Arabidopsis thaliana: one gene and its partners. The protein of the gene in region 1 interacts with the protein of each later gene in a pairwise test. Each region holds a gene or a part of one and is shown in the gene's direction. Other genes may lie near its edges.

Region 1 (3,573 bases):
CCTCGAAATTAGAGATTCTGCGACGGGCTTGACAAAGCGGTTGGCGCAAACTGCTCAGGAAACATTTGGTGATTTTGAAGAAGCTGTTGAGAAAGATGCTACAAAGACTGCTGTTCTAGATGGAACTGTCCACCCACTAACAAGCTATGTCATCAATTATGTCAAGTTTTTATTCGAGTAAGTACATCATATATACTCAACTTATTTCCTCGAACTATTTGCGTATTGTTCTTCTCCATACTGCTATTTGCGTATTGTCCCTTTCCACGCTTTAATTGATGATCATTGGTGTCAGCTACCAAACAACATTGAAGCAACTTTTCTTGGAATTTGGAAATGGAGATGACTCAAATTCGCAGCTAGCATCCGTAACGATGCGGATAATGCAGGCGCTTCAAAACAACTTGGACGGAAAATCGAAACAGTACAAAGATCCTGCATTGACACACTTGTTCCTGATGAACAACATTCATTACATGGTCAGATCTGTGCGCAGGTATATTATTTTTCTCGTTTAAACTTTAAAGGCTGATCTGGTTTTATTAAAAAAATAAAAGAACGCACTCATTTAGCTTTATTCATATGATAATTTTTCAGGTCAGAAGCCAAGGATTTGTTAGGCGATGATTGGGTTCAAAGACATAGGCGTATCGTGCAGCAACATGCAAACCAATACAAAAGAGTTGCCTGGACAAAGGTTCTGTCTATTTGTCTAACTCTGTAAAGAAACACTATTATATAAAATTTCATTAAATTGTTACTAAGAAACTGTTACATATTTTGTAGATACTACAAAGCTCATCGGCGCAAGGTTTGACCTCATCTGGGGGAGGAAGTTTAGAGGGAGGAAACAGCAGTGGAGTTTCAAGAGGATTATTAAAAGAGAGGTAAGTCCTAAACATGTAAAATAAACACAGTAATTGGCAAATGTTTATATATTTGGTAATGATGATAAATCTGTAAAAAAAAAATGGAACAGGTTCAAGATGTTCAATATGCAGTTTGATGAGTTGCATCAGAGACAATCGCAATGGACAGTTCCAGACACAGAGTTAAGAGAGTCACTAAGACTTGCTGTTGCTGAAGTATTATTGCCTGCTTATAGATCATTCCTCAAACGCTTTGGGTAAAAATCTCCTTTCTCTCTTTACTGCGAAGGCTTTTCTAATATTTGATTGAAATGTAAAAAAACCTAAATGAGATTTTAACCTATGATCGATGCAGGCCTTTGGTTGAGAGTGGGAAGAATCCTCAGAAATACATAAAGTATACAGCTGAAGATCTTGAAAGATTGTTGGGTGAGTTGTTTGAAGGAAAGTCTATGAATGAACCACGCCGGTAAAAAAACAACTAAAAGATGATGAAAACTAATTGTGTAAGGTAAATTTCTATCAAACTCTTCTTTTTTTTGGCTTACCTTACATAACTAGGTTCGTTGCTATTGTATATGCAGTGTCAACTTTTCGTTTTTTGTATTCTACTATTCTTTGGTTGGAATGAGAATGTGTAAATTACTTGGAGACAGAGTTGTTTCCTTTTGTATACGTTAAACGTTTTGAAATAACCATGGCCTAATAAGTCTAATCTCAACTCACAAGGATATGAAATCTTTTTTCTTAGAATGAAATTAATCGGAAATCAAAATCCTAGGCGTAATTTATAAAAAAAAATATGCAGTGAAGGAGCTAAGTTATAAGTTGATATGATTGACAATTGCTTTGAGACGAGCTTTGGTACTAAAGATCGAGCCAATAATATTTGTCCGAACAGCTGAACTAAGCTTGGGGACAAGATTGTCATGCGGATCAATTCTGTTATTTTCTTAATGGATTTTAGGTGATTAATCAGTTGTTATTGAACAGAACAAGACAGATAGAGCTCTACCGACTTGCATACTTAAATGAAAGAAATATGATTTATTAGTAAAATAAAGAGTGATGAGATGGTTTTGTTGTTTTAAAACACACATGTTTGGTAATTGGCATATTCCTTTTAGAAGATCCAAATTCTCCCAACATCTTTACATGGACTTCCCCATTTCCATCATCTCCTTCCACTTTTTTCCCAAAATAATATAAAAAAATGATAATTTGAATCGATGTAATGAGTGTATTCAACCTCTTGTATAATTTGTCTCCATGACCAAAGACAAAGAGAGAAGCCATAAAAACCCTAACAACATCCATTGTTGAAACTCTCTTTGGCACAACACCAAACACACAAAATATGGCCATCCCCTAAAGAAACTGAAGCTCAAGAACCCTCTGAATCTATCAGAAGATCTCACCAATAAAGGGTTTTGAGAGGTTCAAGTTTCTCTTTATGGGATGGCCCCAAACACAAGAGTACTCACAAAAGGTAAGAAGAAGAAGAGATCTCTTGGAGATTATGATTGTGAATGTTCGTGTGTGGGTGTTGTGTAAATGATCATCATCATCATCATCATCATTATCCAATATCATAATTATCAATATGGTGATGATGATGATGATGAGGATTGTGTGTGAATGGAGCGATGAAGATTGCATGAAGGTTGATGAAGACAAGCTTGATGTGTCTTTTGTTATCCCTCGTTTGGGCAACTTCGATCCTTTGGCAAGCTTCGGTTCCCCTCGGAATCAGCAGATTATGATTACTATAGCTCTTATATGTTTATGTTCCGTGTTTACTTTGTTTCCGGTTTAGTTTGGTTTATTGTCTTTAATTTCGTCATGTTTGTGTTGAATGTGTGTTGTTGTTATCCCGTGTGATGCACCATTCAGGTGTGTTCCTATGTGTGTGTGAGGAATAAAAGAATATTCGGTTTTGATATCTAAAATCAAACCCCACTTCTACCTTTCATTAATAGTGAGTGTCTTCAAACAATTTTGTTTTAGCAATCTGTGTATACCTTTATCAAAAATACTTTTAAGCTGGCCCATTCTTAGCCCATTAATAGTCCAGTTTTAGCCAATTGAAATCGGGTAAATTTAAACACATTCATTCTTCTAATATGAGCATCTATGAAGAAACCCAAGAGAGCCCTAATCAAACCGTGTCTGACAAGCTATTAAATAAAAAGTCGTATAAAGTAAAACAAACTAGAAAACCTACTACAGAAAACGTAGGGGTATCTAATTATGTTTTTTTCCGAATAATACATGATTATTGTTTCTAGATAAACAATCCATAATAATAATATTAAAAAAAAAAAAAGATTAGATAACCCTAAATAACCATTATGTTATTCTAAAGTGTTTTAGAAAAAATTAAAATATAGTCGCCCATCTTTTGTTGCGTGTATCCAGCTTGGTTGCTTCTTCAACTTCTTCTTCTCCTTTTTCCTCTCACTATTGAGATCAGTCGCAGTCATCACGAGTTTCTTGACCTCTAGTTTGAGTTCCAGAATCCGTTCTTCAGAAGTCTTCTTCTCCAAGGAAACCATGTCAAGCTTTGACTGCAACCAATCCAGGTTAAAACCGGCTTGTGTCAGATCACACATATCCTTTGAAGCTTTGCTCAATTCTGCTTCGGTGAGATAACCAAGAGGCGTGTGGTAAAGTATCCCGATGATGTCGCAGAGAAGGTTCATTT
Region 2 (3,851 bases), on another chromosome or scaffold:
TTTGGACCGTTGTTTTTTCAGTAGCGTGATTAGACTCTGTTGTTTAATGCAGGAAGCATCTACTCGAAAGTTGGATTCAGGTTCAACGGCCACAATTGCACTTATCGCAGATGGTCAACTACTGGTTGCTAGCATCGGTGATTCTAAGGCACTTTTGTGTTCTGAAAGATATGAGACTCCTGAAGAGGCTAAAGGTTCCCGCAGCATCCCTTTTTAGACTATAACCAACCTTGTGAAGCCACTAAGAGTATAGGGGAATGAATGAACGTTTTGTTCTTTTGGTGTTTGCTTATTGCAGCTACTTTAATAAAGTTGTACAGAGAGCGTAAGCGCAATCAAGACTCTTCCCCATCAAGGTTCTCTGATTTAAAGCTGGAACATCGCACTGGACTCATGCGTTTTATTGCCAAAGAATTGACAAAGGACCATCACCCAGATAGAGAGGATGAAATGCTCCGAGTGAAAGCTGCAGGAGGTTATGTCACCAAGTGGGCCGGTGTGCCAAGGGTGAATGGTCAGCTGGCTGTCTCCCGTTCGATTGGTGACCTTACTTATAGAAGGTTGGCACTGCTGGTTGTATCCTAGAATCTCTCTGGAACACGATTCTAGCTGGTTTACACTATGAGAAGTTGAAATGTGAGTTTTGATATCTCTTTCAGTTACGGTGTCATCTCTGCACCTGAGGTGATGGACTGGCAGCCTCTAGTGGCTAATGACAGCTACTTGGTAGTGTCATCTGATGGTATCTTTGAGAAGTTAGAGGTGCAAGATGCATGCGATCGCCTGTGGGAAGTAAAGAATCAAACTAGCTTTGGAGCAGGAGTGCCTTCATATTGCTCAATATCTTTGGCAGACTGCTTGGTTAATACTGCCTTTGAGAAGGGAAGTATGGATAATATGGCTGCAGTCGTGGTTCCTCTAAAATCCAATCTAGATTGGGAGAGCCAACCAAAAGAGCAATCTGTGGGTCCTTCGGGATTCAAGATGAAGAATACATATGCACTGCCATGTGAGTTTCTCTCATCACAACCCAACTTATTCCGTATGGGATGAAGAGTGATCTTTCATTTCTAAATATATCTGTTTTTCAACAGATGGAACTTTTAATCCATTGCAATTGAAGCAGACTCAACCACTTTCAACCATGTTTAACGAGTTATTGGTATGTTCCCACCAAGACATTACCATACAAATGCCCAAGGAAAGTGTACAAGTACTTTATAATAAAATGAGTCAACCTTGGTATTGTAGGTTGAAGAAGAAAACAGCAGCTATTATAAACTTAATGGTACCTTTGCATCATATGGGTGACTTACTTACTGGTAGCCTCTTCCGAGTCATTATTCTCTGGTAAGTGAAGTGACTGACTAGTATCACCTCGTTGCAATCTTGTTTAATGTTTTATCTTTTTCTTTCTGGTTCTGTATACTGCACTAACATTCAATCACAACTCATACCTTGTAGGTGCAACTAATTTTTCAACAAGGACCAATTTTTGTGTATTCTGTTTTCTACCATCTAATTCGTTAGTTTTTGGTCTAGCCATAATTGTTTTGTTTGTAAATTGAAAATTGGAACAAAGTATAAGAACAATTATAATAATTCAAAGTACAAGTGGGTGTGTATATGTGGACGAAAAATGTGAAGAAAGTTGTTGAAATGGTTTTTAATTGGCACAATCATTTGTGGCAAAATCCAACCAATGATGTGAAAAATAAATCAAATCCAATGGAAATGGGCTGTAGAAATGAGTGCATCATTAACGTTGTTTCTCCTCTTCAGAGGCCGGCCCACTGAATAATCTTAATTCCAGGTGTCAAGATCGGAGCCGTCTGATTATATTATTTAATTGCGGGACGTATCGGGAAGGTTCTTCTCTTGGCCGCCTCTCTCGGAGTCTATTACTTCTTCTTCTTCTTCAAGGAGGAATCGGGATCGTCCTCACATCTCATTCGCATTTTGCTGAAGACTTCTCACCGGCGTTGACAAAAAAAAACGAATCCGGAAGATGTGGAATCAGAAGCATGATTTGGAGTCGGCTCAGACGCCTCTCTACCCGATGATGTCGGAGAGCCCGGAGCTCCGATGGTCTTTCATCCGCAAGGTCTATTCCATCATCTCCATCCAGCTGCTCGTTACAATCGCCGTCGCTGCCACCGTCGTTAAGGTTCATTCTATTTCTGTATTCTTCACCACCACCACCGCCGGCTTCGCTCTCTACATACTTCTTATATTGACTCCATTGATCGGTACGGTACTCCTTGGATTCTATCTCTCCATCATCTCCGGCTCTTTGATCTGCTTTCTCGTTTTTGTGTGTGTGCAGTTATGTGTCCTTTGTATTACTATCACCAGAAGCACCCTGTGAACTATCTGTTACTCGGGATTTTCACCGTCGCTCTTGCCTTTGCGGTTGGCTTGACCTGCGCCTTTACAAGCGGTATGTATGATCCAGTTGAACGATTCTGTTTTCTCCTTATTCTTTCCCTAACGTGTTTTGTTTGATTACAGGGAAGGTGATTCTGGAATCTGTGATTTTGACCGCTGTTGTGGTCATATCCCTCACTCTATACACTTTCTGGGCGGCCAAAAGAGGCCATGACTTCAACTTCCTCGGACCTTTCTTGTTCGGTGCTGTCATTGTCCTCATGGTGTTTTCCTTCATCCAGGTATCAATATCGCTCACAAGGCTTCAATGTTCTCTTCTTCCACAATAAGAGCTTAAATACTATCTTTATTGCTGCAGATTCTCTTCCCTTTAGGAAAGATCTCTGTGATGATCTATGGTTGTTTGGCATCCATCATCTTCTGTGGCTACATTGTATATGATACCGACAACTTGATCAAGAGGCACTCCTATGACGAGTACATCTGGGCTGCTGTTTCTCTTTATTTGGATGTCATTAATCTCTTCCTATCTCTCCTCACTCTCTTAAGGGCTGTTGATAGTTAGGCAGTCTTGTCTCTTTCAGATTGCTCTTAAGACTGTGCCATTGTTATCTAGTTCATATGTTCAAATTCTTTTGTCTGCAAAAGGAAATTTGGGTTGTAAAGAAATGTTGATCACTGCTTGTAACATGATAGGAGAATCCAATACATTTGTACTTGTGAAGGTTGTTGTTAGCTTTAGAAGTCATCTCTGTTCACTCAATTGAATAAAAGGATATTACAAAAGGGAATGTCTTCTACTCCATTATGTTTAAACCTATTCTTATCATAAGCAGTTCGTTCTACAAAGCATCTACTTCTTTCCTAGCTTATGTTGTTAAGGTGCCATCCATTTGGACATGGAACTTTTCTGCTTCTTCTCAGCAGCAATGGCAAGTAGCCTGGATACGCCCTGAGTCCATATCTCGTATTCCCTTTGGTTTCTGCACTCAAATTCAATGACCCTCTTTGTTTCTGTCTTTAAGCCAAAGTAGTGATGCTTGTCTCCGTTGAAAAGATCTCTGCCAGCCCATGCAGGTATATCCTTTCTCACTTCAAGCACCATATCTGCAACACAAGTCCAAATCAAAGACTATTATGACTTGTATTATCTATCTAGCTTTACTTTAAAAGCCAGGCTAGTGTAAGAGATGAAATGTTTGTGCTGAGAAGAACCTACGTTTCTTCTTCTTTGTGAAGGTCCCTCCAACGTGTTTACTTTTCATTTTCAGCACAGCTTGGCCTGCTTTGTTGATGTAGACAGAGACAATCTTCCAGTGGAGTTCACCTGCTTTCAAAATTCAAGGTCAGCGACCCTTGCTTTTTACTTGGCTTACAAATCATTTATACGGGTGTAGCTTTGGAGTACCTCCACGAGTTCGTTTGAGGAGCTCAGTGCCTTTAGCTAGTAATTCCTGGTTACA
Region 3 (6,094 bases), on another chromosome or scaffold:
GATCAAATCTCATATATCAAAGGTATATGAGCTAGTCTTTATGAATTATGGGTGTGTTGTAATATATCAAGAGATTCTTTCGATCTGTACAGATGTAGTGAACGAGTATTTATAAGAAATATATGACTGGAACTAGTGACAAAAGGTTGAGTGAGTTGGTCGAATCGTTTAAGTTGTTGGATAACAAATAATCGAATACGTTATATTGTGTGTAATTTCGGCAGATGGAACATGAACTATTAACACTACTAGATAACTTTTTGTGATGCGTCGTCACTTAGGTGGAAGAAGGCATGCACGCGTTGTCGAACAACACGTTTTTCTCCATACATGCACATAGCCAGTCTCATGTGGATCGTCAAGCATTTCCAGCATCATAGGAATTTGATCATTTTTGCTTGAAACATGATTTGTTCTACGCAGTATCAAAACTTAGTTTTGAGATATAATACTCTTTAACTATTGTATATAAAATTTTAATTGACCTATGTGATACTATTAATATTGTTTAATTATTTATCTATATTTTTCTTTCTAATTTATATGTACAAATTGATTTATTTATTTTTAATTTCTTACTATTGTTATTCTATATAGTATTTTTCTCATCTATATCCTCATAATTTATTTGAAATCGTCTCTAATATTTTGTTTGTGTTAATTATCTATATAAAAGTTTAATTCCTTTTATACTTTATTTGTAACTAGTATTATACCCGGTGCATAGCACCGAAAATTAATGTTATGATACATTCTTTTTTTGAATTTAAATGTTATGATATGTTACATATTATCGATATTTATACATGAAAAATTAATTTTATAAATAGATTAGTATATAATCGTGTAGGGAAAAATATATCGTTTCATGTATTTGTGGATTTTATTTTTTCAGATGATAATTTGATATATAATGGAGAATTGAAGTTGATATCACAAAATTATTAGTCTTCCAAATATAGAGAATTAGCTTCCAACTTCAATGCTTTCTAGAATACATACAAAAGCTATAAAATAAAAAATTACATATGGTATTCAAAGACTCAATACAAACATAGATTATAGTCATAGACAAAAAAAAGTTACCAGAGTGAAGTTGACTCAATACATAGATGATATCATTTATGTCTTAATGTTGTACACTTCTACTTCGTCTTCAACCTCCTACTACTTTGCCATTGGTGTTTTTCTTGCTCAAGTCTTCTACTTTGTTTGTGTTTTATCCTCTATCGATCAAGTTTGCTTGTTTATTTTTAGTGGTTGATCTATGAAGCAAAAAGATATTAAACATACATAATAAAAGATAATTCAAAAACAGAAAGCATTAATATACTCATCTAAACGCAATCAATAAAATAAAAGAAATATAACATACGCTGGCCATATTGCCTTATATGAACTGATTAGAGATTGAAGACTCTTGTTACAAAGAAGGTCTCGCTCCTAAATGATTTTACTCTCAACCTTCTTTTAAAAACCAATATCAACAATAGAAAGATGATACCGAGATTTGTATATATAGGTTTGAGATCGTATCTGTCTTTGTTTCCCAATAGTTAGTTTGAATGTTTTAATTGAAAAAAAAGAGTTACATAGTTTGAATAGAAGAAAAAGAAATTGTGGGAGTATGGAGAATATGTGGGTTGATTTTTATTTTCTTTTGAGAGTGATCGTGGGAAAATTGACGATAATGTTTTAATTTTGTACACTGTTTTCACATTTAATTTTATTTTGAGTTTTGTCGAAAAATTCATTTTTGTTTTACATTGTGGATTTTGTTTTTGATAAATTTGCCACATGTCAAAACATGATTTGCCAAGTGACTTGTGTTTTATAAGATAAAGGATATATAATGTATTAATGTCACAAAAAAAGAATTACATTGCATAATTAAGAGTATGCATCGATTACATATTTACATCATATCTTTTCATATTTATCCTTTTTCTTAATATTCAGATTACGTTCAATCTTTTCTAATATTACTTTTTTTTTTAAACAACGAGATTGACACCAATGGGAAAGTCTGCTATAGATTACGGAAGCACGATGTGACCTAACTTGTTTGTATTAAATTCGGCATCGGAACATGGATCTTAAGGAATATCCTTTCCCACCACCGCAAATGTCCGTTTGTTAAATCTGAGATTTTTCAATCCCATTATATAATAACTCAACAAAATCTCTCTGTCCAATTTCCAAAGTCAACTCCTTTTTGGTTTTTGTTTTACTTTCTGTTTTCCTCTTCTCTACTCTGGAACAACAACTACACACACACACAAAAAAAAACAATTTTCTGTCTATATATATATTAAGGATCCAAATTAGGGAGAGACCAAAGAGGAAATTAATAACAATCAATCCAACAACGAATGGAGATTGAAGAAGCGAGTCGTGAAAGTGGACATGTTGTGTGCGGATCATGGATTCGTCGCCCGAAGAAAGTAAACTGGGTTCTTATCGCTAAAGCTTCCAAACGCCGTGGCTCATCTGTTTCTTCTCCTGCTCTCCTCAACATCTTCTCTTTTGACCCCATTACTGCTTCTCTTTCCTCCTCTCCTTTGGTAAATTTTTCTTACACCTTTTGAATTTTTCAATCGAGAGCTTCGAAATCTTATTGGGTTTAGGGTGAAATCTACTATAGTTCTTTGGATTGCGAAACTTGGGTTCTTCTGAATCATGCAATAAATCTAGGGTTCTTCAAGTTGTTTTCTTCTGATTCTGAGAAAGCAGAGCAAAGCCCCTTTCTTTTGGTGTTTACTTCTGTGGACTAATGAAATAAAAAAACCAACCTTTTTTCTCTTTTTTCTTTGACCAAAGGCAACACACACGCTTAAGGATAGTGATGGTGATCCTGTGGCTGTTTCAGTGCACCCTGGTGGGGATTACTTTGTTTGCTCAACCTCCAAAGGTGGTTGCAAGTACGTTTCTATCTCTGCTTTTACCACCCAAAACTTATGATTACTAGACATCCTACAGTTCCTTCCTCTGATACTATGTTTCTAAATTTGTTGAGTTGGTATTGTTAAACCTATGATGAGAACTAGATATCAGATTACTAGAACTTTACATTACTTCTCTCATTACATCAGACGATCTCCCACCTCCCATGTTTGCTGATGTAGAATTAATTGTAGTGAGGCTTGAATTTCTTGTGTTTAAGGTTTGGTTTATTTTATATATGCCTATACTTTTGTTGGAGATTGCCGATGCCTTTTATAATTGGTCTCTTTCATAATATTTTGACTTCCCTTTCTTGCATTCATCTTTAGCAACTCTACTATTCCACTTATTTCATGGATACGAGGAGTTGTCTTCAACCATTTTTGGACACTGTCTACCCCATTGTCTATACAAATTTTGTTTTACGGTCTAGATGGTAATTAAAACTTTATTTGGTTTTCAGGTTATTTGAGCTTGTCGGAGGAGCAACAGGTATTACGATCTTAGCCAAAGAACTCCTTCCTCTCCAAAATGCTGGACTACAAAAGTGTATGGCCTTCAGCTTTGATGGGTCTAAATTAGCTGTTGGGGGAGTGGTAAGGAACTGCAATATAAGGGATTTTTTTCTTTCACTGTTGCGACAATTTAGTTGTAGCTTACTACAAGTTATTTTCAGGATGGATGTCTTAGAATTATGGAGTGGCCAAACCTAAGTGTAATTTTGGATGAGCCAAAGGCACACAAATCCATCCGGGACATGGATTTTAGGTAAATACTGGAATCTTCTCAACCACCATCCCCCCTTTTATATTATTTGTAATGCAAAACTGTAATTGAGGTAGTAAAAAATGGTCTTCTGTATAGAGCTGAGAATTGGGTTATACAACACAAATAGTAATTAATGGAGATTGTGAAACGAAACCCATTGTGTGCATCTTTCTCATATTTGTATATTTTTTTGTAGTCTTGACTCAGAGTTCTTAGCTACAACATCAACTGATGGATCAGCTAGAATATGGAAAGCAGAAGATGGTTTTCCTTTGTCTACTTTGGAACGTAGTGGGGTATGTGATTGTGAGAGTTAAAGTTTGCATTAGCATTCCTATATTTCTAAACTAATAAGATCCAGTGAAATTTGTATGAAGGATGAGTTTCCATGTCTATGATCTTTTCCAATAAATATAGTTCTGAGATTTCTCGGTCTCGATTTTGTCTCTGTCGTGTTTCCTATATTGGCTTCTGATATATCCTGACTGATTCTGATATTGTCATGTCTGCAGGATGAAAATATTGAACTGTGCCGTTTCTCTAAAGACGGAACAAAACCTTTTTTGTTTTGTGCTGCTCAAAGAGGTATATAATATATCCGACTCTCGAGTAACATCACTAGTATTTCAAATTAAAAACATCATATGAAAGCTTAAACTATTGGAATCAGGTGATACGCCTATGGTCAATGTTTATGACATTAGTACATGGAAGAAGCTTGGGTTCAAGAAGCTGTCAAGGAAGACTGCATCGACAATGGCAGTGAGCTTGGACGGGAAATATATTGCTTTGTGAGTCTTTCTTCATCCCGGGCTGCTTATCACTATCAGGCTTGTGTGATTGTACATAAAACCTCATACTTTGCACCTATTTTTGTAGGGGTGGGAAAGATGGAGATGTATCTGTTGCTGAAGTTAAGACAATGGAAATCTACCACTACAGTAAGAGGCTGCATCTTGGTCAATCCATTGCTTCACTTGAGTTCTGCCCCAGTGAAAGGTATGGGGAAGCAATTGAAAGGATAATGATAAATCAAAACCCTTATGTCTCCGCATTGTTTCTAATGTTGATCTTTATCTAATTGGTTCTTTCTAGGGTTATGCTGACAACTTCTAGCGAATGGGGAGAGATGGTGACCAAACTCACTGTACCAAAGGAGTGGAAAGGTTTGTTGCTAATCTCTTTCTCTGAAAATATGAATGGCACATATTTGGGGTTTATACATTTGTTTCTCACTATTATCTATTTGTTTGATGTGCAGAGTGGCAGATATATGCACTGCTGTTTTGCTTGTTCATGGCATCAGTGATAGCTGCATACGTATTCTTCGAGAACTCAGATTCGTTTTGGAAGTTACCAATGGGAAAAGATCAAAAAAGACCAAAGATTAGTCTATTTGGAGGTTCCTCCTCCACGCCTTCTGAGGATCATAGTAGGTGGAACTTGGACCTATAGAAAGATTATGTAACTTTCCTCTGCTTTTTCTTCTTTCTTCCTTATCTTGTTGCAGCGTTTTTTTTTGTTTTTTTCCTTTCTTCTGATTTTGCTCTGACAAATACCTGTTGATTAATTGATTTATTTACAGACAATTACTGTTGCTAATTACTTGTGCTGAAAATATTATTAAAATTGCAGAGAAGATCTTTTGTAACAATAAGAGACGTGATGGCGTCATATGAGTGGTCCCATTAGCTCTTGAGAAATATAAAAATAGAACCTCTCACTTTTTATCTTCATGAAGTAACCTCTAACAAAAATAATTAGACAGAATAACCCAATTCAATATTGACGGTGCTGATGTGGCAGCAGATATTAGTTTTGTGAAGAGGGTGTTTTTGTTATTGTGGAAAGTTGGAGACTTTTTCTAGTAATGTGTTCCACTTTACGTAACAAACAAAAGTGATTGCATTCCCGGTGCAGACCGTGGGGTCCCAATTGTATCGTCGTGAGTCGCGTGACCGTCAGAGTCACACTCACAAACATTTTTGGACATGAATTGAAAATTATTATAATTACCAGATTTTTTATCTATCGTCGAACTTGGGACTGAGAAAGTAGCAGCTTCGTTTGCTTCCTCTGATATTTTTCTACACTCTCTGTCTCTCTCTAAAGATGAATTGTCTTCAGAATCTTCCCAGGTATCTTCTTGCTTTCCGAAATTAGCAAATGTTGTTGATTTGTGTGGTTCTTTGATTCGATATGAATTTGTGTGTTGTTGATGTCTTTGATCGTCATTTATTTCAGATGTTCAGTCTCACCTCTGCTGGGATTCGGGTGCATTCAAAGAGATCATTCTTCTTCTTCTTCTTCTTTGAAGATGCTAATATCGCCTCCGATCAAAGCCAATGATCCAAAATCTCGACTTGTTTTACATGTATACACC

What was found. The genes of interacting proteins can lie anywhere in the genome.
Region 2: the proteins of AT5G03545 (region 1) and BIL4 interact in a protein complementation assay, tested with the Arabidopsis thaliana proteins (one large-scale study listed by BioGRID).
Region 3: the proteins of AT5G03545 (region 1) and PHF1 interact in a protein complementation assay, tested with the Arabidopsis thaliana proteins (one large-scale study listed by BioGRID).

What each region holds. Positions count from the first base shown.
Region 1 is NC_003076.8:892,575-896,147, forward strand, and holds AT5G03545 (expressed in response to phosphate starvation protein), read left to right. Parts: upstream 1-2,007; 5' UTR 2,008-2,472; coding exon 2,473-2,685; 3' UTR 2,686-2,943; downstream 2,944-3,573. Other genes in the region: EXO70A1 (exocyst subunit exo70 family protein A1), read left to right, coding at 1-177, 296-496, 598-697, 787-887, 980-1,126, 1,225-1,342; AT5G03550 (MATH domain/coiled-coil protein), read right to left, coding at 3,239-3,571.
Region 2 is NC_003074.8:23,387,040-23,390,890, reverse strand, and holds BIL4 (Bax inhibitor-1 family protein), read left to right. Parts: upstream 1-1,852; 5' UTR 1,853-2,008; coding exon 2,009-2,249; intron 2,250-2,326; coding exon 2,327-2,440; intron 2,441-2,511; coding exon 2,512-2,669; intron 2,670-2,746; coding exon 2,747-2,953; 3' UTR 2,954-3,173; downstream 3,174-3,851. Other genes in the region: AT3G63320 (Protein phosphatase 2C family protein), read left to right, coding at 53-194, 299-560, 660-1,053; FKD1 (FORKED 1), read right to left, coding at 3,266-3,495, 3,608-3,715, 3,797-3,851.
Region 3 is NC_003074.8:19,353,189-19,359,282, reverse strand, and holds PHF1 (phosphate transporter traffic facilitator1), read left to right. Parts: upstream 1-2,021; 5' UTR 2,022-2,372; coding exon 2,373-2,564; intron 2,565-2,820; coding exon 2,821-2,921; intron 2,922-3,406; coding exon 3,407-3,539; intron 3,540-3,619; coding exon 3,620-3,711; intron 3,712-3,907; coding exon 3,908-4,007; intron 4,008-4,223; coding exon 4,224-4,296; intron 4,297-4,381; coding exon 4,382-4,502; intron 4,503-4,590; coding exon 4,591-4,710; intron 4,711-4,806; coding exon 4,807-4,877; intron 4,878-4,972; coding exon 4,973-5,166; 3' UTR 5,167-5,416; downstream 5,417-6,094. Other genes in the region: SEX4 (dual specificity protein phosphatase (DsPTP1) family protein), read left to right, coding at 5,824-5,849, 5,956-6,085. UniProt on the Arabidopsis thaliana protein: Involved in Pi uptake by facilitating the trafficking of PHT1-1/PHT1;1 from the endoplasmic reticulum to the plasma membrane.